Lonchura striata: one gene and its partners. The protein of the gene in region 2 purifies or fractionates together with the protein of the main gene of each other region. This does not show direct contact. Links are inferred from orthologs where the notes say so. Each region holds a gene or a part of one and is shown on either strand. Other genes may lie near its edges. The genes, in order: CTNNA1, cadherin-1 and PLEKHA7.

Region 1 (10,529 bases), on a different chromosome or scaffold from region 2:
TTTCACCTTCTTGCTTCTGAGCACACTGCAGCTCTGTCCTCTGCTGTTCAACAACACTGGCTCTGAATTCAATATTCCAGTCAATTAAAAAAAAACATTTACCTACCTACAGCTTCAGCTGGAGATCTCAAGAGCACTTTGGTAGGATGAATACTGACCTGCTCCGTGTTACACAGGTTAAATACCGTTTTATAGGCACACAGCTCAGCCCTGTTTACATGAAAAATTCAACTGACCTTTGTGGCTCGGTAAAGCTACATTGTTACCGCAGTCCTTGTGCAGGCCATTTATTTAAGTGGATCTCTTGTGCTCTGGTTGTATCAACCAGAGAAAGATACAGAAAAAAAAATCTCCCCCCTAGAGCCTTAGATCCGCATAGATATCACCCCTACAAGTACCCAGAATCAAGTGAATGAAAACTCTGAGCCCTTGAGGAAGTGGGAACCACAGTGGAGGGCGGAGCATGGAAAACCACACAAGCCATCAAGGCCCGATAGCATTGACCCTTACAGACTTAAATGAAAAGCCACAAATTTAGTATTTACCTAAATGCCCTCTTGGCCTTCTGCTGAACGACAGCAATGACAGAACTGTGGGGCCTACAATCTCCGCTCAGTTAACCTCCAGGTTTAAAAAAAAAAGTTTCTTCCCCTGATCCTTCAGCACTTACCCACCTACTAAGCTCATTAGTTTCAGCCTCCTCCTTAAACTAGCTATTGAAGGCTACTTTAGAACAGGGTGAACCAACAGTGCCTCTTCTACCCTAATTTGCTCCACATCAACTCCTCATTTGCTCAACATCATCTCCACACAGAAATTCTTCTTAAGCATGTACAGTCATATGCAGATCTACTCCATAATAGGGCACTGATTGCTGAGAAACTGGGTGTTCTTTGGGAAAAATAGCACACCACAAGCTGAGGATCCCACATTATGCCCAATGCAATCCTACCTGCCACACTGACACCAGCTCCCCACCTGCTTCACTCTCAAGCCCCTCACTACCAGGAGTTCAACTCGCTCTAGGGCTGTAACATCAACACTCATCTGTCCTTGTGCCACTCCATGCACTAAAACAGAGCTACCAGAGAACCACCTGGCCTCCAGCTTGGCTTCATGTGTGCTCTTCCACTCTCTGCCTTGGTAATGGTTATTCCTTTAGCTACAGCTGGCCTCATGCTTGCTTTTTCCATTCCTAGGTTTATTAGAGAATGGTTTGGCTTGGGAGGGACCTTAAAGTTCATCTCATTCCACTCCCACCATGGACAGGGACACCTTCCACTGTTCCAAGTGGCTCCAAGCTCCCATGTCCAACCTGGCCTTGGACACTTCCAGGGATCCAAGGGCAGCCACAACTGCTCTAGGCACCTTGTGCCAGGGCCTGCCCACCCTCATAGCCAAGAATTTTTCCCAATAGCCTATCTATCCTTGCCCACTGGCAGTGTGAAGCTGTTCCCCCTTGTCCTATCCCTCCATCCCTTGTCCAAAGTACCTCTCCAGCTCTCTCAGGAGTCCCTTTAGGCACTGGAAGGGGTTCTAAGGTCTCCACAGAGCCTCCTCCTCTCCAGGTGAACAATCCCAGCTGTGCCAGCCTTTCCTGCCAGCAGAGCTGCTCCATCCTCTGCTCATCCTGGAGCCTCCTCTGGCCTGGCTCCAGCAGCTCCAGCTCCTCCTGTGCTGGGACAGGGCTGGGGCAGCTCTGCAGCTGGGGGCTCACTTGAACAGGAGGTGGAGAATCCCTGCCCTTGATCTGCTGCCCACAGTGCTTCAGATAAGCCCGGGATACTGGCATTGATCCCTGAATTTAAAGCCTTTCAGAAGAGGCTCTTGGGAGTCTAACTGATTAATAACTAGCTGTCTTCTAAATTAGAGAAATTGTAACACAAGGGAACGTCAGACTGGGGGAGAATTTCACTTTGCAAACTGTGTTAGTTTAGATCTGTGTATTGAATAATTTCTATCACTTCACAAAACATGGGGAAAAAGATTACTCCTTTAATTCGACCAGAGATATTTATAATCACATATCAAAGGACTAACAGATGTTTTCTGTAGTACATCTGGGATTAACAAGCAAAAATATGTAATCATATTGAGAGAAAAGGTAGCTAGCTCTTTAAATCCATCAGTCACAAGGCATTATGAATCATATTTAAGTATCAGATAGTCTGGACTAACCTTCTGCACACCAGAAATCACAGTTACACCCATTCTCACCCTGACTAGCAGATAAGGAGTCTCAGTCACTAGAGGAGAACAATCCCACTTCCAGTTGCAGTGACCTCATTCCTCCTGCAACTCCTTCACCCCAGTAAATCCATCTGCACCCAGTTCTCCTTCGTGAAACAGCAGGCCACTCTCACAGCTTGTCTTTCCAGAGGAGCTCATCCAGTCAGGGTGCTAGCATACAATTTTGTGGTAGCTCTATTTTAAATCTCATTTTCTGGATTAAAATAGTATGGAGTTAAAAGTAGTAATTATCAAACATCTGCACTTTCTCTAAAGCTGCAATGCTGTTTAACCAACAGAGCAGCTATAAACTCACTGAATGGAGCTATTCCAGATTAGCTGTAGAACAGTTCGGGTGAATTCCCAGAGCAGTAACGGATCCCATTCCTCAAGGTCATACTCTCAACACTGAAGTTCTGCAGCACAAGCTTTTGAGTGATGTCAGTTAAGGCACAACAGCAGGAAGCCCCATCCCAGGAAGCATCCAAGGCCAGGGTAGAAGGGCTCAGAGCAGGTGCAGGGTTTCCCTGCAGGTGTCCCAGGAAGGTGCCCCTGCCCATGGCAGCAGAATGGAACCAGAGATTTAAGGTCTCTTTCAACCCAAACCAGTCTGTGACTCATCATTATGCTGAGTGACTGTCTCATAAGGTGCTGTCCTAACAAAGTGACACTCAGTCCTCTTTAATTCATCACGTTTCCTTTGGTGTCCAGCAAAGCTAAGAGAAACCAGTAAAACAGAACCCAGCAAGTCCTGAACAGAAGCACCACAGCCACGTGGGCCTTTGCTCCAGAGCAGCCCCACTGCCCACCTATGACGAGCAGGCTGGTTTGGCCACTCAGTATTTTTGTGATCTTAGCTAATTCTCTGCATAAGAAAGGTCATTTAGAAATCAAACAGTAACAGCAGATGTAAATTCAAGGCAGGCCTGAAGTCCCACAAAAGTGTATTTCCAGCTCATAAACAGTTCTGCTTAATCTGGATTCCTTTGCAAGATCAGTTTCTGTATCTTACAGCTGCAGAAAGAAGATATTCATGCTGCTGAAAAAACACAGATTACTCTTCTGTTACATCTTCCGGTTAAATTTATTAGACCAACAGAAGCCCTACGAAGAAGCCGCACCTTAAGGTCTGTCCTGACACATATCAGCACAGAAATGCTGATGTTTCAAAGCCTGAAAATCAACTGTGAGGAAAGTATTTACATTTGTATTTTAAAGCATCGATTTGAGCATGGGATTTCTAATCTCTGCCCACTGCGCTTCCCCCAGCCACCTTGTGTAAACTTTAAATCTCCGATGCAGAGGCCTATTATTAGAGCTGGCTGAAAAAAAACTGTAAAGACTGAAGGCACATTGTTTGTTATGGAAAAGGTTAGGGCAAAGCCTTTCTAAAAACAAAACCTACTAAACCTTTGTTTCTGCTGAGAAAAGTCAAAACATTTCCGTGATGTTTTAGAAATTGCTTCTTTGAAAATGATGAACAGTGACTCAACATCAAAGTATGTCCTTTCAAACAACATGTTTCGATTCAGAAGGGTGAAATAAGTACAACAACAAAACACTTAATGTGGCCTTGCTGCCCCGAGACAGAGCAAAGGCTACATCTAGCGTAAAATGAGCTGGGCTTTCACCTTCATCAACACAATCCTGCCTACAAACCAACCCAGGAACTGACATAAACAATCCCAGAACCTGGCGTAGCCAGCAGGACTGAGGAGTGTAGCCTCTCCCACCTCCCCAGACCCAGTGCAGCAAAAACACAGGAAACCATTAACTAGAGCACAAGTGACTGAAGCACCCAGAAAACACCTTCTGCACAACTCCCATCCCAAAAAAACAATAGACAAAGCCAAACGAAGGGGGAAGAGCAGCAAAGAGCTCCCAGACTAGTTCAATACAGATAGTCCAGACACGCCTGGAGTCACAACTCGGAATGCTGTGCTGAGGACGCGGTCATGGGGCTCGCAGCGATCGATGACCCTCGCCAGAAGCCACCTCCCGGGCACGGCTGGCGAGCCAAGGGCACACAGACAGGGAGCCGTGCCTTGCTCACATCTGACTCGTCACTAAACATAACTGGAACACACACTTTGCTGCAAACTTTCAGTCTGAAGGATTTTAGGCGTTTTGAACTGGCAGGAGCAATGAATAACAGGCGGGTGACCCACGCTACCCAGGGAACCCAGGGCCACAGGCAGCAGACGCAGGGGCCGCACATAACCCGGGAGCGGATGCGCTCTTCCTGCTTTTTGTCTGGGAAAAAGTAGCACGAAACTTTCTGTCAGCGAAGGAGAGGCCCACGCCCTCCAGCAGAGGAGGGGATTAGCGGTGGGTGTCAGAAAACGTGGCGGAGCCAGGTGGGGCCGCGGGGTGTTCCCGGCTGTCCGTGCACGGGATCAGCAGCACGGCCGGGGCTGGAGGAGGGCTCGATGCGGCCTCGGCCGCGCCGCCCGGGCAGACCGCGGGCCGAACGGCACGGAGCGCTGCCAGGGCTGCCGGCCGCGCCGGCCCTAGCGCAGCCGGGGAGCGGCGCCAGGGCGGCCCCGGCCGCGCGGGGAGGGGCCGGGACACCGCCCCGCCGCACCGAAACTTCGCCGGGAGCGGCCCGGCCGCGCGGCTCCCCCGGCGGAACGCGCTGGCGGCCCCCAGCACCGCGGGCCCGCCCGCTCCCACGCGGGCCCCGCCGCTCGGGGCAGCGCCGCCGCCACAGCCGGGCCCGGCTCCCTCCCCGCGCGCGGCCCGCTCCGCTCCCGCCCTCTGCCCCCCGCCCCAGCCCCGCGGCAGCACGGCCCGGCTGGCGCCCGAAAGTTTCCAAGTGCGAGAGCCGCAACTTTACCGGGGCAGAGCTGGGCTGGGATGGTGCGGCCGCCCCGGCTGCGCTCGGCCCCGCCGCTTTGTCCCGTCCCGCGGAGGAAATGGGCTCTTCCGGCGCCTCCCCGCCCGGCCCGGCCGCTCTTCCCGGCACCGCCCGCCGCGCCGCCCCCGCGCCCTGCCGGCGCCGCCCGCCCGCAGGTGAGGGACGGCGGGGCCGGGCCGGGCCGGGCCGGGCCGGGCGGGGCACGGCGGGACCCCCTCACCCCGGGCAGGACGGGGGGTCCCCTCACCCCGGGCAGGCACCTCCAAACCGCCCAGCCCTGCAGGGAGCCTGGCTCAGCTCCCTGTCCCCCTCGCCCCGTGCGCCCACGGGCAGCCTCCCTTCGCAGCCCTCCCCTGGCCGCCCCCAGCCCAGGCTCTTAGGATGGCACTTTTGAGGCAGAATCAACAAATTCGACGTCAATATCTGGCCTTGTCCTCCTAAGCGCAACTTACCGAGGGTCTTTGGAGAGAGGGGAAGTGATGGACGTAGGGGGTTTGAAGGAAACAGGGAAAGTTATGGGTTCCCCCTGGGTTTCTGTATTGGTGTTTTGTTTTGAAAAACCCAGATATTTTCACCCTCCAGAGAGCTGCTGCTTTTAGGAAACACCTTGTTTTCATCCAGATGTCTCTAATAACAAGACTACAGGTGAGAGGAAATCCCAGGGTACAAGCACGCCACAGGCACCCCTCTAAGAAGAGAGGAAGGTTTTGCAAACTTAACCTTGACCTGCAGAGGCAGGTCTGCAGGTGGAGAAAGTTGTCTTTATGTGGCAATTTGTTTTAAAGTTTTCTTTGAAAAGTCTCAGTGAGCATTTTGTGTGAGAGAGTGACAAATTACTCTGGGACTTTCTGTGGTGTGTTTTGAGATGGTTTTTGATACAAATCTCGCCACAGAATTTACACTTGTACTGGATTGTAAAGACGACTGAATAAATTGAATACATTTCATGACTCATTTGCCAGCACTTCTGCGATACCTGAAGCTACACACTCCATCCTTTGTTATTAAGCAAAAAATAGAGAGATTGAGTAACCTACAAGGAAGATTCATTCAAGGTATGTGACTGAGTGAGGGGCTGGCCCGAGGTCAGTGTCACAGCACAGGTGACCACACTGTGGTCAGGACTGTGACTTTCCTCCAGATGCTGGTTCAATGGGATTTGCAGGGCTGTGTTTCCCATCACTGCCATATTCCTACAAAACTTTCCTGCAGGAACACTCCTGTGGGGAATTAGATTGCATTTTTCCTTCCTGCAGATTTAATCCAAGAAAGAGATCCAAGACAAGGAAGTAAGTAGAGTACTGTTGTTTTATAATCCAGAAATAAAATAGGGATCAAGAGCCCAGCCTTGTCAGTGAGTGAAATTAGTCTAAAGAATGTGAGATCTGTAATTATGAAACTGACTGAGATACAGGTTATTAAAAAAAAAATACAGGTCTTCAGTGCCTCAACAAACAGACTCTCTTATGGAAATATGAGGAAAACAGATTTCTTAATTTCATTGTGTTTCCTGCTTATACCAAACCATTAATATTTGGTGTCAATTGCACCAGGGATCCAAACTACTCATTTCTGTCTGTAGCATACTCTCAGTAAAAATGGGAGTTTACACTTCAATAGCTTGCTTTCTTTCATTACTCGTTTTAATATCATGTCTTAGCCTCCTGTGGTGCCTTCCACATTCGGCAGTTCTCTGTGCCTCACATCCTTTCAGGACAAAATGTCAGATTAAAAAAAAATTCCTTTTTAAACCTACAGATTCCAAAGTAGAAGGCCTGGAGTTGTAGAGAATCACATGTTCTGCACTGCACCACTGAAAAGTCAAGGGAAAAGTAGGAGATCAGCTGGCAGCTCTGTTGGTTCATGGAGCGAGTTAAAAGGCTCAGCAAACAAAACATAAAATTATGTAAAAATAGAGCCAGCTAGCTTGAGATTGGACTTTGTCTCTTAATTAACAGCTCTCTCTGAATCACAGCACTGGGCTCTGTCAACAAGACTGAAATGCAGGGAGTGTTCAGACAGGCACCCAGCAACAGTAGCTCACACCTCCCATCCGGCCCATGTCATTGGCAGCTTGAAATCTAATGCATTTTCTGAAATGAGTTACAAGTGTTCTGCTTGGCCTCAAATCTTCCCATAACAGTGTTTGTGATTTTGTAATCCCATTTTCCTGGTGGTTTCTAAAATGTTTTTCTTGCCCTTTTTCACTGGCGAAAACGCAGGGTAAGCCAGGGGAGAGGACAGGGAGAGAGGCGAGGTGGCCACCCCGATACTGGGGGAGGTTGTTTGTGTAGAATGAACAAACGCTCCCGTCCAGTGAGGACGATCCAAGGTACCCAGAGCAGAGCGGGGCTGGCGGCTGCACACTCCTGGCAGCCTGGCCCTGTTCCTTAGGTGTGTACAAGGGCAATCCCTGGCCAGGGCCACCTGGAGATACTGTGTGGGTGTAGCCACTGCAGGGGAGCTGCATTCTCCTGTAAATCCTGGGCTGGGTCTGTGTAGGAAGGGGCTTGTTTATCTAGCAACCTGCTGGAGCTCCACTGTCTGCCAGTCTCAGTGTGTACGGGGTCTAAATGATGTGCCTCATCTGGAACTGGATTTTCTGTTTCTGTAACAATGCTGTTGAAGGGTAGTTGCTCCATTTCAAAATGTTTGTTTGGTCTCTGTGGTTTTGTGTTTGTTTTGGAGGGGTTTTTTAAGTGGTTTTGTTTAGTTATTTGCAAAAGATGGAAGCATTGCACCTCTCACGGCAGTTTCAAAGACAGGACTGCTGGAGCAGGAAGTGGTGAGGGGATTGAGAGGCATGACAGAAGGAAGGAAATAAAGTTGAGGAAAAGTAATACAGTGTTGTAATGGTAAGCTGAAGGTCCTGCTGGAGGGGCTGAATGGGCAGCAGGAACCAAGAGAGAGAGGAAAAATTCCAAATACTCTAAAGGAATCTCCAGGTTCAACTAGCAGCTGGTTGAGGCTTTCTGCACACTGATGTCATGCTGGGCCGTGGGGACAGCTCGAGGGCAGCCGTGCTGTGCCACCAGCTGTGTGACTGCCAGCAGCAGTCACCCAGTCACCGGGCACAGCCCTGTCACCTCCTGTCCCTGGGCTGCCAGCAAGGCAGGAGCAGGGCAGGGACTCGCAGCCGGTGAGCTTTGCTGTAGGAGTCACCCAAAATGCAGCCTCCCTCGAAGACTGGAGGCTCTGATGAAGTCAGGAATGTAGCAAAGGAACAATGAGGGCCTGGCACCAACTCCTGGGGGCTCTCCAGTGCTCATCTCAGTATTCCATGCAGCTGGGAGACAACACCATTTCTTTTCAGGGCTCAGACACATAAAGAGCTAAGATTGTCTTGCAGTATCCAGCTAGGAATGAGCATGTGTACAGCCAGAAACCAAATTCCAGTGTTCTGGGGCAATGCAATGGACTCTGGAAACGCTGGTATGTGGTGCTTCTGGGGAGACTGCAGGTACACAGCCTCAGCTGTGATTACAACACCTGCCTTGCTGAAATAAGCCTCAGTCAGGAGAAGAAGGGATTTACCAGTACACCTGCAGCTACACTGGGGCTCCCTGGCACTGCTGGCAGCGCAGGGATCAGACCCAGTTGATGCTGCAATGCCTCTGGGATCAGCAGTGGTTCTCTGGGAGCTGCAGCCACAGTGCTCCTGGTGCCAGGGCTGTGCTCCCCATCACTGCCACCCTCTCCAAGGAAAACTGTGTGCTAGAAACATGGCCCAGTTCCTAATCAAGAAGCCACTGGCTCCTAAGTGAAACACTCCCTTCCTACACTGTCAAATGCTCCTGGGCCCTCCAGAAAGAGAAGCAGTCTATAGCACCAGCATGGCCAGGAGCACAGGGGCTGTGGCACAGAGCCCGTGCTGCCTGCAAAAAACAGGCAGAAACTGTAATGAGGGGAAATTATGCCATCCCAAAAGGCTCAGCATGAACTGGGTTCACTGGTTGCTGTTCTTAGCCCAAGTAGTTTGCATTCACCTCCAGCTTCACACAGCCTTTGTGTAATAAACTGTCATAGCCCCGGAGAAGGGAACATTCAAAAAAGCACCCCGAGGCAATGCATAGCAGAAGCCTGAGAATCCTCCTGCATGAGTCACTGACCTCCACACACTGCATCTATTTCAGCCTTTAATTAATAATATTTTACATTTTTATGGCACTTTCCATCTGGAAAGATCCGAAAATGCTGTAAAGACTAAGGGGTGTACAGCACCATTGAAATGTGGTTCCTGTAGAGGTGGGACTGTGAGAGCTTAGCCAAGGGCACAGAGGAAAAAGGTTCTTCATGTTAAATGCAGCCTCTGTTACGTGACTGAGTATTTCATATCTGTGGAGAACAGACAAAAAGATTTTCGTTTCTAAGGCACTGCTTGAGTAAATAACACTGTCAATTGCTTTTGTAATCCAGGAGGTATGCAGTGCAGAACAAGTGCTGGGTGATTTTAATTTGGGGTGTTAAAAGGTCACAATTTAAGCTACAAATTGAAACCATCATTGGATCAAGGCTTTCCCACCTCCTGATAATTTATTCCCAAATGTTAGACACAAAGCAGAAGCCAGTGGAGTGGAAACAAACCCCAAGCTGACAGCACCTTACCCTGCATCCGGAGCACCGAACCCTCGCACATTCCCTGAAAGCTCAGCAGGATCGTGTGAGGCTTCAGCAAGGTCAAAACCAGCCCCAAGGAGCAAGTGGGGCAATGGAGAAAACCAGGAGGAAAGAGCCCTCCTGTCCCAAGGCTGACACAGCCCTCAAGGGGAGCCAGGGCTTTGCTGGACCAGCACAAATCCCTTCATTTTTATTTCTAAAGATTAAACAAGCCAAATCACTCTGCTCAGCAGATGAGCAGGGCCTGGCTTTCATGGGGGCAACCTAAAGGACTGTTAGCCACAGCTGGCATCCCTCTTTACTAAGTACTTGGCCAAAGTGAGCTGGGAGCACTTGACCACAAAGAGTTTTCAAAGGAATGTCAAATTTCTCTTTTTCTCAGTGTGATTCTAAACTATTTTTATCTGCCTCTTTCTGGAAGAGAGACACGGGCATTGCCACGACTAGCCGTAAACTTTCATTACTTCCCGAGGAGAAATTGCAGAGAAATTACAGGCTAGTGCACTCTTTTTATGTCTCCTGCTCCGGGCATGTCAGCACTGCTGCATTCCAGTCTACCCCCAACACATTCCTCCCTGCGAGTCCTGTCCCCTCCCCGCCTGCTGATGGACATTAATGACCTCCCTCGGTAATTAACACATTGAGCGCCGCTGTCAGCACGAGATGAGTCCCCAGTGCTGGAACAGCACATTCTGTATGTGCAGGGTGGGATCAGTCCCGACTGCCCCTCCACCCCAGCGTGCCCCTTGGCACCCGAGCTGCACCCGCCCCCTTTGCCCGCTGAGTGCAGGGCAGTGGGGGCACACGGAGCCTGTGGCTGCACCAT
Region 2 (10,729 bases):
GCCTGGTTCTTGTGGGGACACATACCTGCACCAGCTTCTTGGGGAAGGGCCCCCGCTCATTCTCAGGGCAGTTGATGGGGGGGATGACCCAATCCCTCTTGTGCCGCCGGAGGCCGTGTCCGTGCTCCGGGAAGATCAGCGTGTCCGGCACTGTGTCCTGTTGGGACAGTGGCTCTGCTCAGTGCCCTCTGCAGCTGAGCCCTCTGCACCAGAGACGGGAGCTGCTGTGACCCAGGGAGTGGGTCTGTGCTTTACCTGCTGCACCCGCTCGTGGTGTCGGTGCTGGTGCCACCGCTGGCGCAGGGTCACCTTGGCTGAATGCTTCTTGCCCATGGTGTCCCAGGTGTGCACAGCAAAGGTGATCTCCCGCTGCTGGAGCTGCAGGGGCCGGGTGGCAGAGACAATGCCATCCCTGCTCACCTTGAAGCGCGTGTCATCCGGGAGGAAGGCGGCACGGCGTGGCTCGCCACAGTCCACAAAGTTCACTGGGGACAAGGGACTGAGTGGCAGAGGGTTCTGGGGACATGGGCACACACAGCACAGCCCCACTTCAGCAGCCTGGGGTGTGGGGTCACAGCAGTGGTAGGGATGCTCCACACACAGTGACAGATGCCCTGCCAGGATTTCATCCTGGGTACAACACACAGTGCATCCTTGCTCTGGTCTTGGTCCAGGATGGGACATGGCAGGACCTACTGTGCCAGAGGACCCCTGCCGGACAGTGACAGTGGAGCAAGTGGCACCTGGCACAGCATGTCCCAGTCCCCAGCACCATATATGGCATGGCACCAGGCACAGCACATCCCCATATGGGTGTATCCCCGTGGCACAGCATGTCCCCAGGCATAGCATGTCACCACCACTGTGCCCATGCTGCTCCAGCTGCTTTTTCAATAAAAACAAGGGCAGCAGCCATCCACCTGCACTGGCACCAGTGTCCTGGCAGTCAGGCCCCTCAGCCTGCCCAGGTAGCTCTGGGACCCCCAATCTCAGGTTCAGCGGGCAGGCGGGGCCCGATGTCACTAGCTGGGCACCCGGCTGGGCGCGGCAGAGCTGGGCCGCCACGAGGCAGCGGTCAGCGGGCATCACATGAGCCGGGCCGCGCTCCCGAACAAACAGCCTTTGTCTGGGAGAGGGTTGTGCGAGCCAGCGGCACCCAGGCCCCGGAGCCAGCCCTGGCACCGCCGCCCCGGCTGACCCGCGCCCCGGCAGGGGCCGTGCCGGGGTGGGCAAGGAGGCACCGCCGGACGGAGGGAAGGGAACGGAGCCGTGGGTTACATCAGCCCACGAGCAGCCCAGGAATGCGGGCTGGCTGCGGGATGCAAGGGGGTACGATCGCTGCCCCCCTGCCCACCACGGTGCCCCCGAGCCGGCCCGGGAGGAGCCGCCGGTGCGATGCCAGCCCCGCGGCAGGACCCCCGGGCAGGGCGGGCGGAGCCGGTGCGGCCGGCTGGGCAGGAGCGTGCCGGGGCAGGCGGGGAAGGAGAGGCAGCCGCGGGCGCAGCCCCAGCGCTCGGCCTGGCTCGGGGCCCGGTGGGTGCAGGAGGGGCGGCACGGGGCCCCCAGCCCCACACTGCGTGCAGTGAGCGCTCAGTGCTCAGCTCGCACTGGCTTCCAGGAGGGTGCTCAGAACCCGCTCCCCCCTTCCCGCTCTCCCCCTCCAACTCCCCCCCTTCCCACCTGGCTGTGCACAACCTGTTTTTCCAGCTCGGCTGAAGGAGGGCTGGCCCCAGCCCTCCTCTCCCCGGGGCTGCGAGCTGGGGGGGTGGAAGGGGGGCCCTCTCCTGGGAATGATGGGGGTGGGAGAAAAGAAGAACTCAAGAGAGTCCTTCAGGGGGATCCCCCCACTTCAAGGGGGATCCCCCCCCCACTACCATCTACAGAACACTGGGACAACCAGACTGGTACAACCAGGCTGCCAAACTGGGTGTGGGGCTGAGACCCCACACAGGGGATCAGGGCAGGCCCCCAAAGCCACCTCATGTCCTGTGAGGTCTCAGTGGGACTGGGCACAGGCAGAGCAGGGTGTCCCCATCCATCCCTGCAGTGCCACCACCCCGTGTGTTGCACACATGCAGCTGTACAGGGCAGGGGGCTCACCCCAGGGTGAAGGTGCTGCGGGTGACACATCCCACTGACGTCACCCCAGTTTCGCTGTGACTTCAGACTCTCGAGGTTTCTCCACCCAGGATTGAGGGGCACTATCCCAGCCCCCACCACATGCCCACCACCCCAGAGCCCCCCGACCCACGGAGCAGGGCCCTGGCGGTGCCGCAGCCCCCACGCAGGTGTTGCTGTTCGCCGCCCAGGCGCCGCGTGGGGCTTGTCTGGGCCTGTTGGAGGGAAAACACAGTTCTCAACTCATCAAGCTAATTACAGGCCGGATCGTCAGCCTGGCTGCAAGCTTTGGGGTGCTCCATGGCCCAGCACGGCCTGGCATCCACCAGGCTCAGCCACCCCACAGGTGGCATTACTGTGGCACAGCTGTGAATCACTGGGTGCCACACAGGCCTCAAGGGCAGACGGTCCCTTCCTTCCTCCCACGCCCTGACTGTGCCCGGAACCCAAAGCTGAAAGTGCTGGTGCTGGGACAGAGGATTTCCAGCAGGTCTCGGTGCTGCAGGGAAGTCACAGGGCTGCCCGTCACCCCCCCCCCTCGTATCAGGCCCAGCCCTGATGGACATCAACTTGTGCACGTTAATGATCAACCACAAGGCAAACAAACACAATTCCTGGGGTATGGGGCAGGGTCCAATTCCTGGCTCTCCCAGGCGAAGCCATTACAGAGCTGAGGATGTTTGGGAGCCTGGGTGCAGCACTGGGTGCTCATTACCCCTCAGCCCTTTGCCCACCTGGCCACCCTGGCACACACACTGCAGTGCCAGCACCAGTCTCAGCCACGAACTGGTGCAGATGGTGACAACCACTGCACACAGCCCCAGAGCCCACGGAGTCTCTTTTGGGGGTCCCAGAGTGGCAGCAGATCCCCAGCACATGAGTCCCCAGTGCCCCCTTGCCATGCCAGAACAGGGCATTAATGCCAACACAGTGGGACACCAACATCCCCAAAAGCCCAGGAGCCCATCCTGGTGCCCATCCCCATGCCAAGAGCTGGCCTGGCGGCCTACACAGTGGGTCCAAAGCGGGGCTCACCATGGTGAACCCCGGGTGCCAGGCGAGGCACGGGGCAGGGCAGGCGCCTGCGTGCCCCACACCCCAGGCTGCCGGCCCCGACAGGTCTGCGGTGCCTGAGTCAGCGCCGCCCGCGCCGGCGCGCCCCGGGGAGCGGCTGCCGCGGCCCCCGCGCCACGGCACCGTCCCGCCGTGCCAGGACCCCCGACGGCTGCCTGCGCTGGGACCAGCAGTGTGGCCCCTCCGCTGCGTGTGGACACACCAGGCTCTGTCCCCCATGCCACCTGCCACCGCAGCGAGCCTGTCCCCACCGTCATGGCACTGTCCCCGCTGCCACAGCCCTGTCCCCACGGCCCCATCCCCGTGGCCGCGCCAGCACCACTCGGGCACGGAGACACGGCTTTATGTCCCCCACTGGCCGTCCCTGTCCCACACACCCCCCTGTACCCATAGTCCCGTCCTCATCCCACAGCCACCCTGTCCCCACACCCGGTTGTCCCCGTGTCCTTACCCCGTCCCAGTGCCCGTCCCGCCGCCACGCCGTCCCGCGGCACCGTCAGGGTGAAGGTCTCGGCGGCGAAGCCGGGCTGGCACGACGCTGCTCGCTGGCACAGCCGCTGCCCGCTCTGCCCGGAGAGATTCGTTAGCACCGGGCAGGGTCCCGAGCAAGGTCCCGCTGCCCCGGGCAGGGTCTCGGCGGGGTCCTAGGCGGGGTCCTGCCGCCCCATTCCGTGGCTCACCTGGAGCAGGAGCAAGAGGAGGCAGAGAGGGACGGAGCAGCCCGCCCGCCGCCCCATAGCCGGTGCCGGTTGGTGCCGGAGGGATCGGGCGCTGCCGCCGCGGAGTCGCAGGTGCGTCCGGTCCCCTCCCGATCCCTCCTCGCAGGTGTCGGCCCCGCCGAGAACCGCCCCGTCCCGCCCCGACGGGAGGCGGTCCCTCCCCGCCCGCACCCCCGTATTCCCGGTACCTATGACGCCCGGTACCCGGGAACCCCCCACGGTACCGGTGCGGTTCTCTCCCACGGTCCCCGGTACCGTGGTACCCCCAGTACCCCACCAGCCCCCGGTACCCTCTACACGCCTGGTGCTCTGCCCGTCCCAGGTACCCGCTGTTCCTCGAGCCTCTGATATTCCCAGCCCCAGCCACACAGCTCTCGTGCTTTCCATGCCTCTCCCGTCCAGGGTAGTGGGAGCAGGGGGTGTTGGTGGGTGACAGGAGCCAGGAGTACCCCAGGGTGCCCCCATGCCACGGCCCCAGATCCCAGCTCTGCAGCAGGGGACAAACATCGTACCCAGGGACCCCTCGGGCAGGAAGGGCCCCTCAGGATGCTGCAGTCCCTGACTTCCCCTATACCCCTCCATCCCCAAAGCTGGGGAAGGGGACCCCCATCCTGTGTCAGGACCTGATCCTGGAGCCAGTGGGAGACCCTCAGAGCTTAGGGTCCTGCCAAGGCCAGAGGCTGCTGTGCCCACCCATGCTAGCACCCATGGTCATCTCAGGGGGTTGGGGTAGCAGCAGGGCTGTGTCTGCCCAGGCCAGGAGAGATTTAGCACCAGCAATGCCCAATGCCACCAGTGTCACTCCCATGGACAGATTGGCAGTCAGTGCACTGCCCATACCCATCAACACCCCCTGGGGACGAAGACACCCCAGGACGGGGGGCACGGGCACTGGCCCTGCATGGCCAGTGATGCATGACGCTGCAGCTGTGCCAGAGGTTCCACACTGCAGTGGGCAAGGGAGGACAGGGCTGGAGCGGGGTCATTGCTGGGCTAGGGGCAGCACCGACCTCCAGGGCACAAAGTGACACAGACCCTGAAACATCTAAAAAAACCAAATCCTTTATTAAAACTGACCCGGCTCCCATCCCCTTGTCTGCAGCATCACACGCCATCATTCCATACCTTAAAAAATAGATAATAACCACAAAAATGCAGGCGAGGAGGTGAGGGGGCTGCGCTGGGGTGGGGAGGGGGCACGGCAGGGGGAACCCCCAAGGCACAGAAGCAGCAATAAGGCGGGGGCAGAGGCAGGCTGGGGGTCCCTAATCGTCCTCCTCGCCGCCGCCGTAGAGCTCGGCCAGCTTGCGGAAGCGGCCGCCCCAGTCGTTGAGGTAGTCGTAGTCCTGGTCGCCGTCGGAGGCGGAGGAGTTGAGGGAGCTGAGCGAGGTGGCCTCCGAGCCGCTGCCCTCGTAGTCGAACACCAGCAGCGAGTCGTAGGGGGGGGCCGTGGGGTCCGTGTCGGCCGCCTTCAGGTTCTGGGGGAACAGAGGGCTCAGCACCTGTGTCCCCTGCGCCGGTGAGGCAGGGACGTGTCACCCCCGAGGCTCCCGGGGCAGGACTCACCTCGTCGATGAAGTTCCCGATCTCGTCGGGGTTGGCGGGGCGAGGCCGGTACTGGGGGGCCGCCATGAGCGGGGGGGCCACATCATTGCGGATCACCTCGGGCCGGGCGTCCAGCCCCCGGTGCAGCTGCCGCAGGTCATAGTTCTGGGGACACACACACATGGAGAGGGGCACAGTCAGGTTGCTCACGCTGTCACCAGGTCCCTGACCCCCACACCCACCTGGTCCTCCTCGCCGCCACCTTCCTCCCCGTAGTAGAAGATGTTGTCCCTTGTGTCATCTTCAGGCAGCAGCAGCGGCTCCTTTGTCACCTTCCTCCTCCTCATGAAGAGCAGCAGCAGCAGCAGGATGACTGAGGGGCAGAGTGCCATCAGGAGGGACATGTGTCCCCCTCTGTGCCCAGAGCTGGGGTATCCCCGCAGCCCCAGGAGCCCCAGGATCTCCACTCACGCAGCAGGGCCAGCAGCGCGCCCAGGGTGGCGAGGACGAAGGGCAGGGCGGTGACAGGCTGGGACCTCTGGGGACAGCCCTGTGCCTGCCCCTCACAGGCGCAGACCCGTGCGGTGACAATGGTCACTTGGGCTCTGCCCGGCTGGTCCAGCAGCCGCAGGTACACACTGTAGGTGTCTGGCTCCAGCGGTGCCACCAGCTGCAGTGTCACTGTGTCACCTGCGTGGGATTGGGGGCTCACGGACAACGCACCAGGAATGCGGCCGTGGCACAGCTGCCTCTGCCGAGGACCCCCACAGTATGTTCAGCCCCCCTGCAATACCTGTGTCCCCCACCTCCACAGCCCAGCTGTCCCCCGAGCCGTGGGTGAGCTCGGCGCGGAAGGGGCCGGTGTTGGGGGGCAGGTCCCGGTCGGTGACGGTGAGGAGCTGGGGCTGGGGACTGCGCTGGCAGACTGTGATGTCCCGTGGCTCCGCCTCGGGGCCGTTGTCGTTCACATCGAGCAGGGTGAGGAGTAGCGTGCCCGTGCCCGTGGCCGGTGGTGAGCCTGGTGGGGACAGTTCTGGAGGGGGGATCCCAAACCCAGGGCTCTCATGGGGACATGGGTGACTAAGCAGGCATGGGGACAGGAGGAGCCTCAAAACCAAGGCTTTCCCAGGGACAGAGCCGCTGTGGGCAAGGGTGGGAACAGCAAGGAGTGATGCTGGAAGGGGCAGTCCCAAACCCAGGATCCTCAGGGAGCTGGGGTTCCCCGGGCAGGGTGGGGCCAGGCTGGAGTTGGGATGTGTTTCCTGGTGATGGCAGCACGTGTTCCTCACGCGGGAGGGGGAACAAGGGCCCTTTCATGTCCCTCACCATCATCCACGGCCAGCAGCACAGCTATGTAGGTGCTGTTCTTGACGAAGGGGGACTCGCGGTCCAGGTGGTCCCGTGCGGTCACCAGGCCATTCTCAGGGTGCACGGCCAGCCAGCCCGCCGGGTCGTGCCCCACCAGGTACCTGGGGGGCACAGGGAGCTGGTGCTAGGGCGAGGGGCAGCAGAGATCCCCCAAACCTCCACTCCAACCCTGTTCCCGCTCACTTGATCGTCTGGCCCTGTGCCTTGTCAGGGTCCTGGGCCATGCAGGCTGTGAGGGTCTGCCCCGGGGGCACATCCTCTGACACCGTGGCCAGCTGCACGGGTGGCACGAACTCCGGGGCCTCATTGACATCCTCTACAGTGACAGTCACCGTAGCAGTGGCCATCGGCAGCTTCACGACGAAGGGGACCTCGTTGGCCACTGCCACGTGGAGCACGAACTGCTGCTTGGCCTCATAGTCCAGACCCTGGCAGAGGGGGAGACACCGGCAGTGACAGTGGGACAGGCAGGACTCTCCGTGGGCAGCATGGGGGACATGGGATGACAAAGACCTTGGCAGTGCGGAGGATGCCCTCGTTGGTGGCGGGATCGGTGGTGATGGCAAAGGCACCCCCGTCGTTGCCGCGCAGGATGGAGTAGACGGCTCGCCACGCCGGCGTGCCGGGCTCGTCCAGGTCGGTGACAGCCAGCCGGGCCACCTCCTGCCCGGCCGCGTTCTCCGGCACGGCCGCCTCGTACTGCAGGTGAGGGGCATCATCAGCACCACGGCCCAGCGGGCACCAGGAGAATCACACCAGTGGGGGTGCCCACATTACCATTTTGGGGTCAAACTCGGGGGCATTGTCATTGACGTCGGCGATCTCGATGACAGCCAGCGCTGTGGTGGTCAGTCCCTCACCATCCAGGTCAGCTGCCTGCACGGTCAGTGTGTACTCCCGCACACGCTGTGGTGGACAGACAGACAGACAGACAGACAGACACTGTGTCAGTCCCTGCTTGGGGCTGGGACCCTGCCCCACAGTGCTGCAGAGCCCACCTCCCGGTCGAGGCCGCTGGCAATCACGCTGAGGGTGCCAGTGGCCCGGTTGACAGTGAACATTTGGGGATGGGGCTCCCGTGGCTCCTGGCTGAGGATGGAGTAGGCAATGACACCATTGTAGGTCTCCACTGCATCGTCCGCATCCGTGGCTGTCACCTGCATGATGGAGGTGCCTGGGGATGTGGGTGTGCAGGTAAGTGGGATGCTGGGGGGCACAGTGCCGAGGCTGTGCCCAAGGAATACGGCTGGTGGGATGCAGAGCTTCCCCAAGGCCCGGGGTCCTACCTGGCAGAGCTCCCTCTGGCACAGAGCCCCTGAACACCTCCTGTGTGAACTGGGGCTTGTTGTCATTCTGGTCCGTCACTGTCACGATGATCTCCATCGGCTCCTCCACGGGCTTCCCGTTCTCAGACACGGCGTGGGAGAAGAGCTGCGGGGTGGGGTGTGAGTGGGGGGCCTGGCACAGCACCCCAACATCCCTCTGGTGTCCCCAGGCAAGGACCTACGTGGTACTTGTCGATGTGCTCGCGGTCCAGCGGCTGCGTTACTTTCATCCAGCCCGACTCCTTCTCAATGGTGAAGATGCCCTCGGGAGGGGCGTCCGCTCCCTGCCCGGTGATGCTGTAGAAGATCTTGGTGTCTCTGTCCCTGTTGGATTTGATCTGGGAGGAGACACAGACCAAGGGGCTGAGGTCAGAATCCCCCACCCCACCACACCCTGCTCGATGCAGCGGGGATGCACCCCCAGCACCCACCCCCATGCCCAGACTGCCCAGTGTCGTACCTGAACCAGCTTTTTGGGGAAGGGGCCCCTCTCATTTTCAGGAACCTTGATGGGGGGGATCACCCAATCCCTCTTCTGCCTCCTGAGAACAGCGCGAGCCCCGGGCAGCTCCTGTGGGATGGGGGTGAGTGAGGGCACAGCCGGCTGGGGGAGCAGGGGGTGGGGGATATGCGGTGCAGCGTTACCTGGGGGGAGCGCCTGCTCTCTGCGGGAACTGGGCCAGGGTCTGGCTGGCCAGCGGCATATCGGGGAGAACCAGCATCTCGGGGGGGTACGGCGAGCGCCCTGCCCAGCCCCGGTAGCCGCACGGGGCCCCCGTCCTCCCGCACCCCGACATCGGGCTCCTCCGTCCTGTACGGCCCCGCGCAGCCTCCGGAGCTCCCTGCGAGGGTGAGGGGTCAGGGGGGTGGGGGGAACTTCTCCCCCGACACCCCCGAGCCGCAACCACCAGCTCCAGGACCCTGCAATCCCCCAGAGTGCCGAGGCGGAGTGAGCCAGGGGACGGTAGAAGAGGGGAAGAGGACACCGGGAGCGGGGCAGGGAACACCGGGCGCCGTACGGGAGCGCAGTGGAAGTTTCGGTGGAAGTTTCGGCTTTGTTTCACAGATGATGGGAAATTCCTGCGCGGGCAGAGCCCTGCCCCAGCCCCCTCCCGGTGTGTCACCCCCTCGGGGCTCCCAACCCCCCGTGGCCAGATCGTTGGGCACTGAATCTCCCTCCCCCGCCTCCCACGCTGCATCCCTCGTGCCGGACACAGCCCCGGCTCCGCACCCCCCGGGGGAAGGATTAGGGGATTAGCGGAGCTGAGCCAGCTCCGGGCGGCCGAGCGGCCCGGGGGGGCTGCGGAAGGTGTGGAATGGGGCAGGGAGAGCTGTGCCCCACGGCTGCTCCACACCGGAGGGACCGAGCCCGAGGGCGACGGTGGGGCCGTGTGGGGAGCAGCAACCGTGCCCCGAGGGCAGCGCCGGGGCCCCTCCCAGTCGCGATGGCCGCGATAAAGAACTTTAACAGGGCTGGAGGGGCATCAGTCACCCTGGCAAGCTGGGCATTGGGAGCCCGGGGAAGCCCCCAGCCCCCGCCGTGGGGAGCCCCCAGCCCCGCTCCCAGCTGTGGCACGGCTTGCTGTTCCCTCCGAAGGGCACAGGGGGTACCCCACCATGTCCTCGGGGTCCCTCCATGGAGGGCCACAGGGCACCGCGCCCGCTGGGTGCCGAGGCGGAGCCGCTCGGTCGGTGCCGGGGCCATGTGCTGCCCACGGACGGGGGTCGCGGTGGCACGGCCAGACCCCAGCCTGTGCCCGCAGCAGGGGCCTGGCAGCGCCCACCTCCAGTCCTGGCAGGCTTAGCTGATGGAAAAGGGATGTGAAACGGGATGTGGTGTCCACAGCAGACAGAGGTCGAGGCCCCTCCCTAGCACTTACCGCCAAGGAGAGCTTTTAGTGCTCCCGCGGCCATTAGATGAGCGCTGGCTCGGGCCGCGTTCCCGGGCAGCCCCAGTCTCCCGGGAGCCGCCGAGCGAAGAGGGCAGCGGGCCCGGGCCAAGCTCCGGCAGCGGGCCAAGAGCTGGCAGCAGCAAGCCCCTGCCCAGCCTCAGGCCAGCCAGAGCCCGCACCCCACAGCCGGAGAAGGGTGGCCCCCGGGCACCCAGCCCCACTGCCAGCCCGGCGCCGGCCGCCCACCCTGCGGGGTCCCAGCCCAGCTCGCAGCGGGCGCCCCAAGGCTTGGCCAAAGGCACTGGCATCAGCCGCCACCAGCCCAGTGAGACCAGACGGGCACCGCCGGCCCCGCGGGGCACAGCCAGCCCCACGGCCCGGGGGGGAGCACAGCCTTAGACCACAGGAGCCCAGCCAGCCCCACGGCGCAGCCCCACAGCCGAGGCACTGCGAGGTCCTCCCGAAAAGCAGCGGCCCCAGCACCGGGGGAAAAGCGATCCTGATCCCGGCAGTGAGGGAGGCCCTGCCGCCCCCCTCCAGTGCTCGGAGCCGCGATCCCGGTCCCGATCACGGCCCCAGCCCGTCCCCGGGATGTTCCGGGGGTCCCGGTACCGCCGCGCCCCGACGGTGTGAGTTACCTGGTGCGGGGAGCGGCCCGCGGCGCAGCCCCGGGAGGACGCACGGCGGG
Region 3 (10,437 bases), on a different chromosome or scaffold from region 2:
ACAAGAATTAAGTGAGAGTTGTAAACAGTTACTGACTATTGCTATGCCAATTTCACAGGCTTGTTTCTTGTACATCCACTTTGTTTCCCAAAGAAGAGGCCAAGTTGAAGTGGAAACTGACTTCAGAAACTAATAAAATGTTAACTTCAGATATTTAAGTGCTGGTTTCTACTTTTTTTGCTCCTAATTCTAGGCCACAGTTTGAATGCATGATTGCATTTCATCTGTGCAATATCATGGCAGCTTTCAAAAAGAACCTCTGTAGCAGCAGTACACATTTGTAACATATTTAAATACAAGCCAGCTAGCTATCTAACACTGCAAGAACAGATCCTTCCACACCAACAGCCACCTCAACCTTTGAAAGCTGTAGGAAGGGAATAAAAAAGCATTCCACACTTTCCAAGCTTTCCAACTTCCCCAAGTCTTTTGGACAATCAGAAAAAGAGAAGCAAACGTAAAGAAAAACCTGCACTGTAATTAATGCATACATGCACTGCTTTACCACCATCATTGCCCTCCCTGCATGGCCCATCTCCTTCCCCACAAGGAGTTTGCCAACCACAATTAACATTTCACATCAGCAACCCAACCACCAGAAACAAACCAGAGCCAGTGTTCATTCAGCTCCACATGTGCTCAGCAACAACCTTTCTGCAGGGACTCTCCCATAAAGCACTTGCCCCACAAACACAAGGTATTTCAAAAACATCATTAAACAAACAAAAAAAGAGATGGAAAAGTGTGGTGCAAGCTGTATTCAGCACTCCAAAAATGTAGCAACCATGATATTTTCAAAGACTACTACATGGAGATCCAGAAGAATTGATTTATACATCACTTATTTAATGTTTTATTTAGTGATTTTAGGATAAGAGACAGCACTGCCCTAACAGGGTTTGCCACTATCAAGAAAACCTGAGGAATATTTGGAACAGAGAAAATAATTTACAAAGATAAGGATAAGCATAAATGGGAAGAACTGAAATGTAGCTTCCTAAATTACGGTTCTTAAAATTTAAAGCAGTAAAGAAAAAGAAAGACCTGCATGTTTCAGTCAATTGGCAGCATTCGCATGTGCTGCCAGTGTGGGCGTCTTCCCTAAATAGGCAAGCAACATAAAATGCAGAAAACTGAGAAATTTTTGAAGCCAAGAAAGGACTTTTGTTGTTTGAGAGCCTCACAAAAGCTCACTCCAGCAGAGGACTCTGTTCACTCACATGCAACAAAGATGACTTCGTATTGCAAGAGGTGCAGAGAAGAACTAGAGGACAACCAAACAGACAGAGAGCCCTTCTTAAAGGGCTGCACAAAGAACTTGGCTCACTCAGCTGAGCAAAATAAGGCTAAGAGGGAATGTGATTTCAGACAAGCATCTCATGCAAATAACCAAAGGGAAAACAGCACCCCTTCAACTACAGGACAGCTGCCCAACCACAGAACAGCAAAAAACATTCTAAACCACAGCACGTTCATTTGGAAAGCTTCTATCCAATAGAAGTGGAGTTTTGGAAATTTTCAAACTCCTGTTACATGGAAAGGGGAGAAAAACTTACCTGGTTTTGATATGCAGCTTGACCATATTATAAACCTTTGTTTCATTCTGTGATGTTTCAGATCTTTGTTTTATTTTATGATGTTTCAAGTTTGTCCATAGTATTGAAAGAAGCAATAAAGACACAGAAGTAAATGGACATAAGACTAGTTAAGTTTGGTTTTTTTTTTACATAAGAGACAACTCACATCCAAAGTTTTACCTAATATTTTCATGACCTTTATACCAGAAATCAGTTACGTAAGTGGAGTTAGCCTATATATATTTAAATGTTTGATTGAAGTTATTTAAAACAGCAATAATACTTAGTAATAATACTTTTCATTTCATTAGTGAAAGAATAAGACTTACAAGATCCATCAAGTGGCCAGTGTGGTAAAACTACAATAGGCTATATTAATTGTGGAAATTACCACAAAGGGGAGGGGTTACTTGGAATGTTCCTCCTGACACCCTTCAGTATATTAGTATCCAAGGAGTAACAATGTGTTTGTCAAATTTCTGTAGACAGCACCAGACTGGAACTGTCACCAGTACAAAGAGGACTGGGTAGTTATCCAGGAAAGTTCATGGTTTTTGAGAGCTGGAATGCCAGAAAATGGAATTTAATAGAGCAGCATGTGAAATCATGCGTTTAGGGACCAGTAACCTTTTCTGTAAGCTGAGAACTCATCACGTGGAAGCAACACAGGAGGAATGAACAGAGCAGTGAGGTATAGAAATCATCATCTAAGGACACTGATGTTTACATGAGCCCAACAAGAGCTCAGTATGCTCATGGTAGAAAAAATGAAAAATTCCATTGGGCTCAGGAGCCTCTGAGCTGAAATCAGAGAGGTCAGAGCAGTGCTGGGTGAAGTATCACTGCTGAAGAATTAAATATTGCATTCCATATCAGGAGGATCTTGGGTCTCAAGCAGTTCAACTGAACAGATTTATGTTAAAACATTGTTTTGTCTCCTCACAAAACTGCTTGGCTAAAGATGATTGAGTTTATTAAACTGCTCAGTAAAATACACACTCCATTCCTCATTTCATTTCCTGCAGCAGTTCCAGCCCAAGGTAAAGTGCACTATTAGCACAAGTTATGAAAATGCATTACACAGAACTCTTAATTCAATGGATCACGAATTAAAAGTTTTATAAGTGCCTGACAAACAAGAGATGGTGTTCCAAACACAGCAGTTGGGAAGAGGAATTTAAGCCGTTCTAAAATTGCACTAGTAAGTTTCTGGAAAAGAGAGAAAAACAAATAGATGTATTCCTACACCTAGAAGTTTACCCATGTAAAGGATCTGTTTACAGTACATTCACAGACTGGACATTTTAGAATTCCATCTCTGGCCTGTGCAACCAGCAGAACTTTATTCCTTCTTTTCAGTGCTCTAGCCATAGATAAAGGGTGGCAGCTCCAAGTGTTATTGAGCTGCTCTCCAGTGCTTTGCTACCACCTCCTCAAGAGTCAAGGGCTAAACTAAGTGCCCAGCCCAGTACTGCAAGGAATTCTCTGGCTCAGACAAATGAAGATTGAATGCCTTTTTTCTCCTCTGCAGGTGAAAAAAGGACATTTTATAATCATGTGGAATTTTATTTAACAAACATCCTACATGTGAGGCATTTGTTACACCTTCAGTCAATTGCTTCTTCACCGAGCCCAGTATGGTTTGGAAGTTTGATATTTACTAAAACCTCAAGTTACTCAAATGCCTTGCTCTGCAGGCATTTCGATACTGGACAACTGAGACACTGCTGTCAGCAGTTATTGGGGCTATACTTAACAGCCTGGGAGTTCTGCACCGGAGCAATGAGATAGTCTGAGCATTTCCCAGTCCCGTTCCGTTAAATTTGTCAGGCATTCGGCTTTGCAAAGGGAAACGCCAAGGCATCACACGTGACTCCACATGCAAAACGTACCAAAGTTTTACTCATTTGATTGAATCTCTACTTTTACATCGGCGTTTGTTTTTGCAAAAGCCTTATATCTGCAATGTTTGAAAGAAGCTCTCTTAGCTCTCTTTGCTGCAACACGCTTGCATCTCAGAATAAAAGCGTCTCAATAAGCAGCACATCCCTGCTCGTAATTGCTCTCCGAACAAGAAACGCCACATGAAAGATCCCGACATCCACCACCAGCCCTGGCAAGGCAACTTCATCCGTTCAGCCCCGTCTCCGGGAAGAGACACTGGACGCCTTTCACTTGCAAAACTTCCCGGGGCTGCGTCCGCAGCCACGAGCCATTTAAAACAACGAAACCACCATTCACCTTCCACCTCGGCCGGCGCTCAGCAAGGCGACGCTCCACCTGCCGCAAACCTCACCGTAAATAGCGGGGAGAGGGGGGAGCAGCCAGCCCGCAAACAAACACACGCAAAAAAAAAAACCCCGAACAAACAGGCAAAACTGAAGTGCCGCCTCCAAGGAAACCTGTTGCTGACCACCGCCAGAGCGCGGCCGGGGGGAGCCGCATCCCGCCGCGCCCGGAGCCAACTTCGCCGCTGGCACGGCGCAGCCCGGTGCCGCTGTGGCCGGCGTGGATCACGATGGAGCCGGCGACGTGCGGGGTCGGAGCGGGGGCGGCCGGGCTGAGCCGGGGCCGGGCTGAGCCGGGGCCGCGCCGCCAGCGCCCCCCGGCCCTGGGCGGGCGGCGCGGGGCCGGGAGCCGGTACTCACTCGATGAAGTAGCTGGCGCCCTCCTCCGAGAAGCCCTCCTCCCATCCGCGGGGCAGGTCTGCAAGGCACGGGGGACGGGGAAAGAGAGAGAGAGCGGGAAGGAGGGGTGAGAACTTCGCCCGCGGAGGCTCCCGGCCGCGGCGGGGGCGCCGCGCCGCGGGCACCCACCTGAGCGGATCATGTGGCCGGAGTTGACGGGCTCGCCGGTGCGCGGATGCAGCCAAGTGGTGCGGCGGGCCAGGTCGCTGCGAGGGAGAAGCGGGAAACGTGCACCTGTTAGTGAGGGCGGCGGCGGGGCCGCGCCGCCCCCCGCGCCCCTCCCGCGGCTCCCCCTTACTCGATGAAGAAGACGCGCCCGTCCCTGCAGACGCCGTAGGACCAGTGCTCAGGTAGAGTGTCCCGCCCCACCGCCGCCGCCATGTTCGCCGCGCGCGCGGCCGGCCGGGCGGGGGTGCGGGCGGGCGGGCGGCCGGCGCTCGGCGCCCAGCGCCCGGCTCTGCTCGGCAGCGCCACCGCGGCGCGGGCGGGGGGCGGCACCTCCCGCCCCTCGGGGGCCCGCGGCGCTGCCCGGCTTTGTCCGCCGCTGCCCCGCGCCCGCCCCCCGGCCCCGCCCGGGCTGGCGGGGCGCAGCGGCTTCCCGTGGGCACCGCCGCGGGCGGGAGCCGCGCATCCCCGCAGCGCGCTCCGCCCGGCGGAGGCACCGGGACTGTCCCGCGCCCCGCTCCCGCAGCCCTGCGGATGTACAGGTGTGAGCGCACCTGGCTGCCGCCGTGCCCCGGGGACGCGCTCGCCAGCGGCGCCAGGTGAGGAGGGACAGACGGGCCGCGGGGACTTTGAACCGCGGGGGCACCGAGGTTAAAACATCGCACGGAGGCAGCAGCAGCAGCCGGCCGGCAAAGCAGAGCGGTCGCCGGCATCGGGAGGGACCTGTGCCAGCCCCTGTGTTCGTCCCTGAGCTGGAGGAGGCAGGAGGGTAACTTCAGTGGGGCTGGGCTGGCTCCCTGTCAGACCAGAACCCTTCCTGGTGCTGGTGTGGTGAGCGGGGATGCTCCAGCTAGAGTTAAGTGCTCCAGTCACTCAGAATGTGGCTTAGGGACAAAGTGGGTGGGACAAGCAAGGAGTGAGTGGTGTGCCCTACAGCAGAGCCCGTAGGTTTCCTACTCTCATCCTAGCGCCAGGCAGCAGAGCGAGGATGGGTGCCAGGTGCGGAGTCCTGGCCAGTGCCCTGGCTTGGCGGTAGCGCTAGTTGCAGCAGGATTGACAGAGCCAAGGGGTTCAGGGAGCAGAAATGCCTCTTTCAATCAGGGCAGCAGTGGTGGAGCCAAGCATGGCTCTGTAGGGCTCTTGATGTTCTGATACTGGGGAAGAGAGAGGGTCAAAAAGGCAGGAAATGGGACATCTGCAGGCTTGGCGTGAAAGGAGAGTGTTAAACGGGAAAGACAGGTTGCGAAAAGGGGTGGGAAAGGGTAGGTGAGTCTGACTAGGGTCAGGTTAGTGAAGAAAAACAGAGGAGACAACTGAGGACACGGCTGTGGGGGAGAGGGAGAACGCCAGCATGCAGTAGGAGAGTGTAAGAGGGCAGAGTGCTGCAGTACAGGGAAAATGATAACGTTTGCTTTTCCTTCTAAATAACCAAAATAAATCATCAGAAGAAAGTAGGAGGCGAGAAAAGCAGCATTAGACAGGAGAGAGAGGATTTTGCTTTATTTCACGCCAGTTTCAGACAACATTGCAGGTCTGGTGCATCAGGATAGCTTTGTGTAGACTTCCCTTTTTGACCACTGTTGGAGAAGATACTATTCTGTATATATACAGTAAATATACAAACTGTACAGTGACAGCTAATAACCAGGAATGGTCATTAACAATCCACAGAATTTTAGTTTATCCACAGTTATAAAGCAGGAGAGAGTATCTTGTAGCCCTTTATCCTAAGTCAGAATTTTGATTAAAACTTCTAATACTAAAACTCCCGTGCTGCCTTTATTTTTTTAACCTTATTGGGTTTCCATGGCAAAGTCTGGGGGGGAGGAGGGAGGCAGGCTGCAGGAGTGGCTTCTGTCAGAAGCTGCCAGAAGCTTCCCTTACATCCAACAGAGGCAATGCCATCCAGCTCCAGGATGGACTCAGTGTTGGCCAGTGTATTGGATAAGGGATTTAAAAAGGGAGAAAAGTTAGCAGGAAGGGGGAATAGGGCCAGAGAATGAGTGAGAAGATGTGAGAGGAACAGCCCTGCAGGCACCAGGGTCAGTGCAGAAGGATGCACAGGAGCCGAGATTCCCCTGCAGCCCATGGTGAGGCAGCTGTGCCCCTGCAGCCCGTGGAGGACCACGGGGATGCACAGATCCACCTGCAGCCCGTGGAGGACTCCACTCCAAAGCCTGAGGGAGGCTGTGACCCCCTGGGAAGCCTGTGCTGGAGCCTGCGGCCCCAGGGACAGAGGAGCCTGTGGTGGAGGACGATTGCTGGCAGGGGCCGTGACCCCTGGGGGGACCCACGCTGGAGCAGCCTGTTCCTGAAGGAAGGAGCACACCCCGTGGAAGGGACCCACACAGGAGCAGCACATGCACAGCTGCAGCCCATGGGAAGGGACTTAGTTGGAGAAGTTGATGGAGAACTGTCTTCCAGGGGAGGAGGAGGAGGAGTGGCAGAGGCAACATGTGATGAACTGACCACAGCCTCCATTCCCCATCAGTGGTACTGAGAATGAGGAATAAAATTGGAAGAATGGGGGGTAGAGGAAGATGTTTTTAAGATTTGATTTTATTTCTCAATATACTATTCTGCTTAGATGGGTAATAAACTAAATTAATTTCCCCCAGCTGTGTCTCTTTTGCGTGTGACAGTAACTGGTGAGGGATCTCCCACAAGCCTGTGATTATAATTTCTCTCCCCTATTTGAGCAGGGGGAATAACAGAGTGGCTTTGGTGAGCACCTGATGTCAGTGTCAACCCACCACACAAGCCCTAACAATTCTGAGTCATTCTGGTCAGGTGTGAGTTATCACATACCTTGCAATAAAGTCAGTCCCTGTGCAATTCCAAAGTCAAATACAAGTTACTTAGTGTCACTGCATGTTTAGGTCTGTGCAGAAGAGATTAAGACCAGCTCTTGCTCTGGAGTCCCTCATTGCCATGATGCTCTGAAGCAAGTCTGTGCTCCATCAGCTGCATCAACTCATTGCATTTAGCTTGTAACTCCATCTTGACAAAATAGGCTTGTCTACCTCAAATGAATAGTAACTTCATTGACAAAACATTATTGTGGTTTGGATTTCAGCTCCTAAAGGTATCTGTACTGGGTCAAGCTAAATGTCTGTTTAGCCTAGTATTCTGTCTCATGTCCCAACAGGAGCAGGTGCCAGGAAAGAGTGCAGGAGCCAGGCAGTCATAGGCAACTGCCCAGCTTCTTTCCTTAGCTCCAGTACCTACATCCAGTGCTTGCCTGCAGAAGCTGTGAGCTCAGAAAGATCTTGCTCAAGGTGTTATTACCATGTGTAACTCTTAATGGATCTTTTCTGTGAACCTGTCCAGACTAGAGGCCACACAACTTCTGTCACCCAGCAGCAGCAAAGTGTTCCTAATGCTCACCTTACCTGAGCTTACCCGAGTGAAAAATCACCTTCTTTTTTTTTGTTGTGAACCCAGACCCCATTTCATTGATTTTCTTCCATTCTTGCAATGAAAGAGACTGGGGTTACCAGTGCAGCCTCCTGCAGTGTCAGCATTGATTTTAGACCAGGTGACCCAGGCCTTTGTCCAGGTAAGGATGTGAAAATTCTCCAAGGACAGAAATTCAACATAATCTCTTAGCAACTAGTTCCCTTGTGCCCGTGGTGAAAATACTTTCACCATATCAAGCTAGAAACTCCCTGTTTCAATTTGTCACCATTGTCATATGACCAAATCTGGAGTTGATGCATCATGGTGCCTAAGGCATTAGCACATTATCACATACTCTTGCAAATTGCAGAGAAATGCATTACTGGAAAAGCACATTTTCTTACTGTAATTTGCAGAGCTCTATTCCAAAATTAAGATCAAGATGAAAACTTAGTCTAGATTCATAAAAGTTCACAAGCTGACTTGTGTTGGCCTCATCAGGATGTAGGTTTGTGATTTAAAACCTTGGAGGAAGAATGCCTCCAGGCATCATTACCAGATTCTTCTGGTTCTTCTGTTATTTTTTTTGTTTTGTTTTGTTTTCAGGCTCTAGTTCCAGTCTTCTCTGGCTGATATCAGACATTTTTCTATTATCTATCATTCATTACACTCTAGAGGCACTGTCTGGAAGAAACTATTTGGGGTAAAATTAGGACTTTAAGGCCACAATATCAGGAACTCAGCTAAAGAAAGTGAATTATGTTCTTCAACAGGGGTCTAATAAAACCTAGGATATTTGTGGCTCCTTTTGTTGATAACTGGGTAATTCAAGGAGACATCATGAGGTCCCTGAATACTGGAAGTTTGAACCCACATTTGACAGCTCTATAGGAATGTGTCACTAATGTTACTTGCTCTGTCTGCATCCTCTGGGAACACTTTTTTGCTGACTTCATTAAATTGGGAGAGCAGTGATACATTTTAAAGTACACCAAAATCTGTATCTGCACTTTCATTGAAACAGAGAATCACAGAATGGTTTGGGTTGGAAGGGGATCTTAAATATCACCTCATTCCAAGTCCTCTGGGGGACAGGGACACCTCCCACTATCCCAGGCTGCTCAGAGCCCATCCAGCCTGGCCTTGAACACTGCCAGGGATGGGGCACCCACAGCTTCTCTGGGCAACCTGTGCCAGGGCCTCACCACCCTCACCATAAAGAATTTAGTCCTAATTTATATTCTAAACTTGTTCTCTTTCAGTATAAAACCATTGCCCTTTTCCTACCACTACATGCCCTTGCTATTTCCAGAATAAACTCCATGAATATGGACATCCTTTCTACCTCATCCCTTTCTTTTCAACCCTTCCCCTGACAACCCAGCTTCACCCTGGCAGTGGCAACATCTGAGTACTCTCATTTCCTCTTTTATTCCACTTCCATTACACACACCCCCACCCCCTGCACCATCAGGTCTACATGTTTCCCTGCATTTTTTCAACCCTCCATATGCTATAACTTTTCAGCAAAACATTGAGTAGGAACCTGCAAATATTGCTAGAGATACTATATGGGAATCACAAAAAAAAAAGGTATCATTTCCTTCACTCACAATTAGATCCAGTGACTAGAAGGTTAGAGAATCACAGCTGGATTTCAGCATGGTGTGTACTCTAATGATCTATTTCCTATTTTTCAGAGAATTCAATACAATTGAATCTGATCATCTTAGAGGGCAAAAGCTGCTGCTATTTCAGGAAGCTCAAATGAGGTACAATGCATAGGAAAGCCTGCTAGTTATGACTTTTTCATCATGAGCTGTATATTTTATAAAGCATAAGCACGACTTATAAAAGGTGTGAGGCCAGACAGAGGCAGAGCATTGGAAGAGTAATGAATCTGAATTATTAAATCCTGGTTAAGAAAGCTTATAAGCCATAATGCAAATAATGTATTATGCCCTTTAGCTGCAAAACATGTATTATGCCTTTTAGCATGATTTTCCAGCTCTGCTTGGAACAGCTGAGAATTAAAATTATGAAAGGTTTCATGGTGAGACAGATTAATTTGCAAGACAATTTCAGAGCAGTTCATTGTCTGATTATACTGAAATATAGGCTGTGCAACCACATTGTTCTTCAGGATTGTGCAGCGTGATTCCCTTTTAGCAGTGGTAAGTGCTTAAGACACCAGAAATTAATATACTGATTCTTAGAGGTAGAAGAATGTATTAATCAGACAATAGGGGAAATAGGGAAGAGATCTTGGAGACTTTAGGCAAATCCACATTTCTGGAAAATTTCCAATGCCGTTATTTTAAAACTGCAACACTTTTTCAGATTATGGAAGAACTACACCAAGGAATCACTGTGGTATATTTGTTCAAACTGGGGAAAACAACTTCAGCTATTGGATTCTCAGACAGCATGGGGAAAAGCCGTCTCAGGAGAGCAGTAGCAACAGAACTCTTCAATTTGAAAAAAAAAATAGGCACGCACAGCTAGAGCCAGTGTCCGGCTGTGGGTTGAAGAAGCAGTTAATGAAATAGATTGAACATGCAGAAAGATTTTTTTTCCAGTCTGAAGTCTTAAGACTGTTTAAAACCTGA

What was found.
Region 1: the proteins of cadherin-1 (region 2) and CTNNA1 purify together in Homo sapiens (affinity purification with western blotting; 10 studies listed by BioGRID and IntAct, with this or other methods). This does not show direct contact. The link is inferred for Lonchura striata from reciprocal best matches to the Homo sapiens genes CDH1 and CTNNA1.
Region 3: the proteins of cadherin-1 (region 2) and PLEKHA7 purify together in Homo sapiens (co-immunoprecipitation; 3 studies listed by BioGRID and IntAct, with this or other methods). This does not show direct contact. The link is inferred for Lonchura striata from reciprocal best matches to the Homo sapiens genes CDH1 and PLEKHA7.

Annotation. Positions count from the first base shown.
Region 1 is NC_134617.1:16,846,776-16,857,304, forward strand, and holds the start of CTNNA1 (catenin alpha-1), read right to left. Parts: upstream 5,175-10,529; 5' UTR 5,066-5,174; intron 1-5,065. UniProt on the Homo sapiens protein: Associates with the cytoplasmic domain of a variety of cadherins. The association of catenins to cadherins produces a complex which is linked to the actin filament network, and which seems to be of primary importance for cadherins cell-adhesion properties.
Region 2 is NC_134615.1:22,957,784-22,968,512, reverse strand, and holds the start of cadherin-1, read right to left. Parts: upstream 4,015-10,729; 5' UTR 3,930-4,014; coding exon 3,873-3,929; intron 3,759-3,872; coding exon 3,644-3,758; intron 486-3,643; coding exon 256-485; intron 158-255; coding exon 26-157; intron 1-25. Other genes in the region: B-cadherin-like, read right to left, coding at 5,177-5,389, 5,478-5,621, 5,699-5,829, 5,928-6,146, 6,250-6,474, 6,783-6,925, 7,008-7,252, 7,338-7,523 and 7 more.
Region 3 is NC_134608.1:49,091,858-49,102,294, reverse strand, and holds the start of PLEKHA7 (pleckstrin homology domain-containing family A member 7), read right to left. Parts: upstream 4,677-10,437; 5' UTR 4,646-4,676; coding exon 4,563-4,645; intron 4,471-4,562; coding exon 4,394-4,470; intron 4,284-4,393; coding exon 4,226-4,283; intron 1-4,225. UniProt on the Homo sapiens protein: Required for zonula adherens biogenesis and maintenance. Acts via its interaction with CAMSAP3, which anchors microtubules at their minus-ends to zonula adherens, leading to the recruitment of KIFC3 kinesin to the junctional site.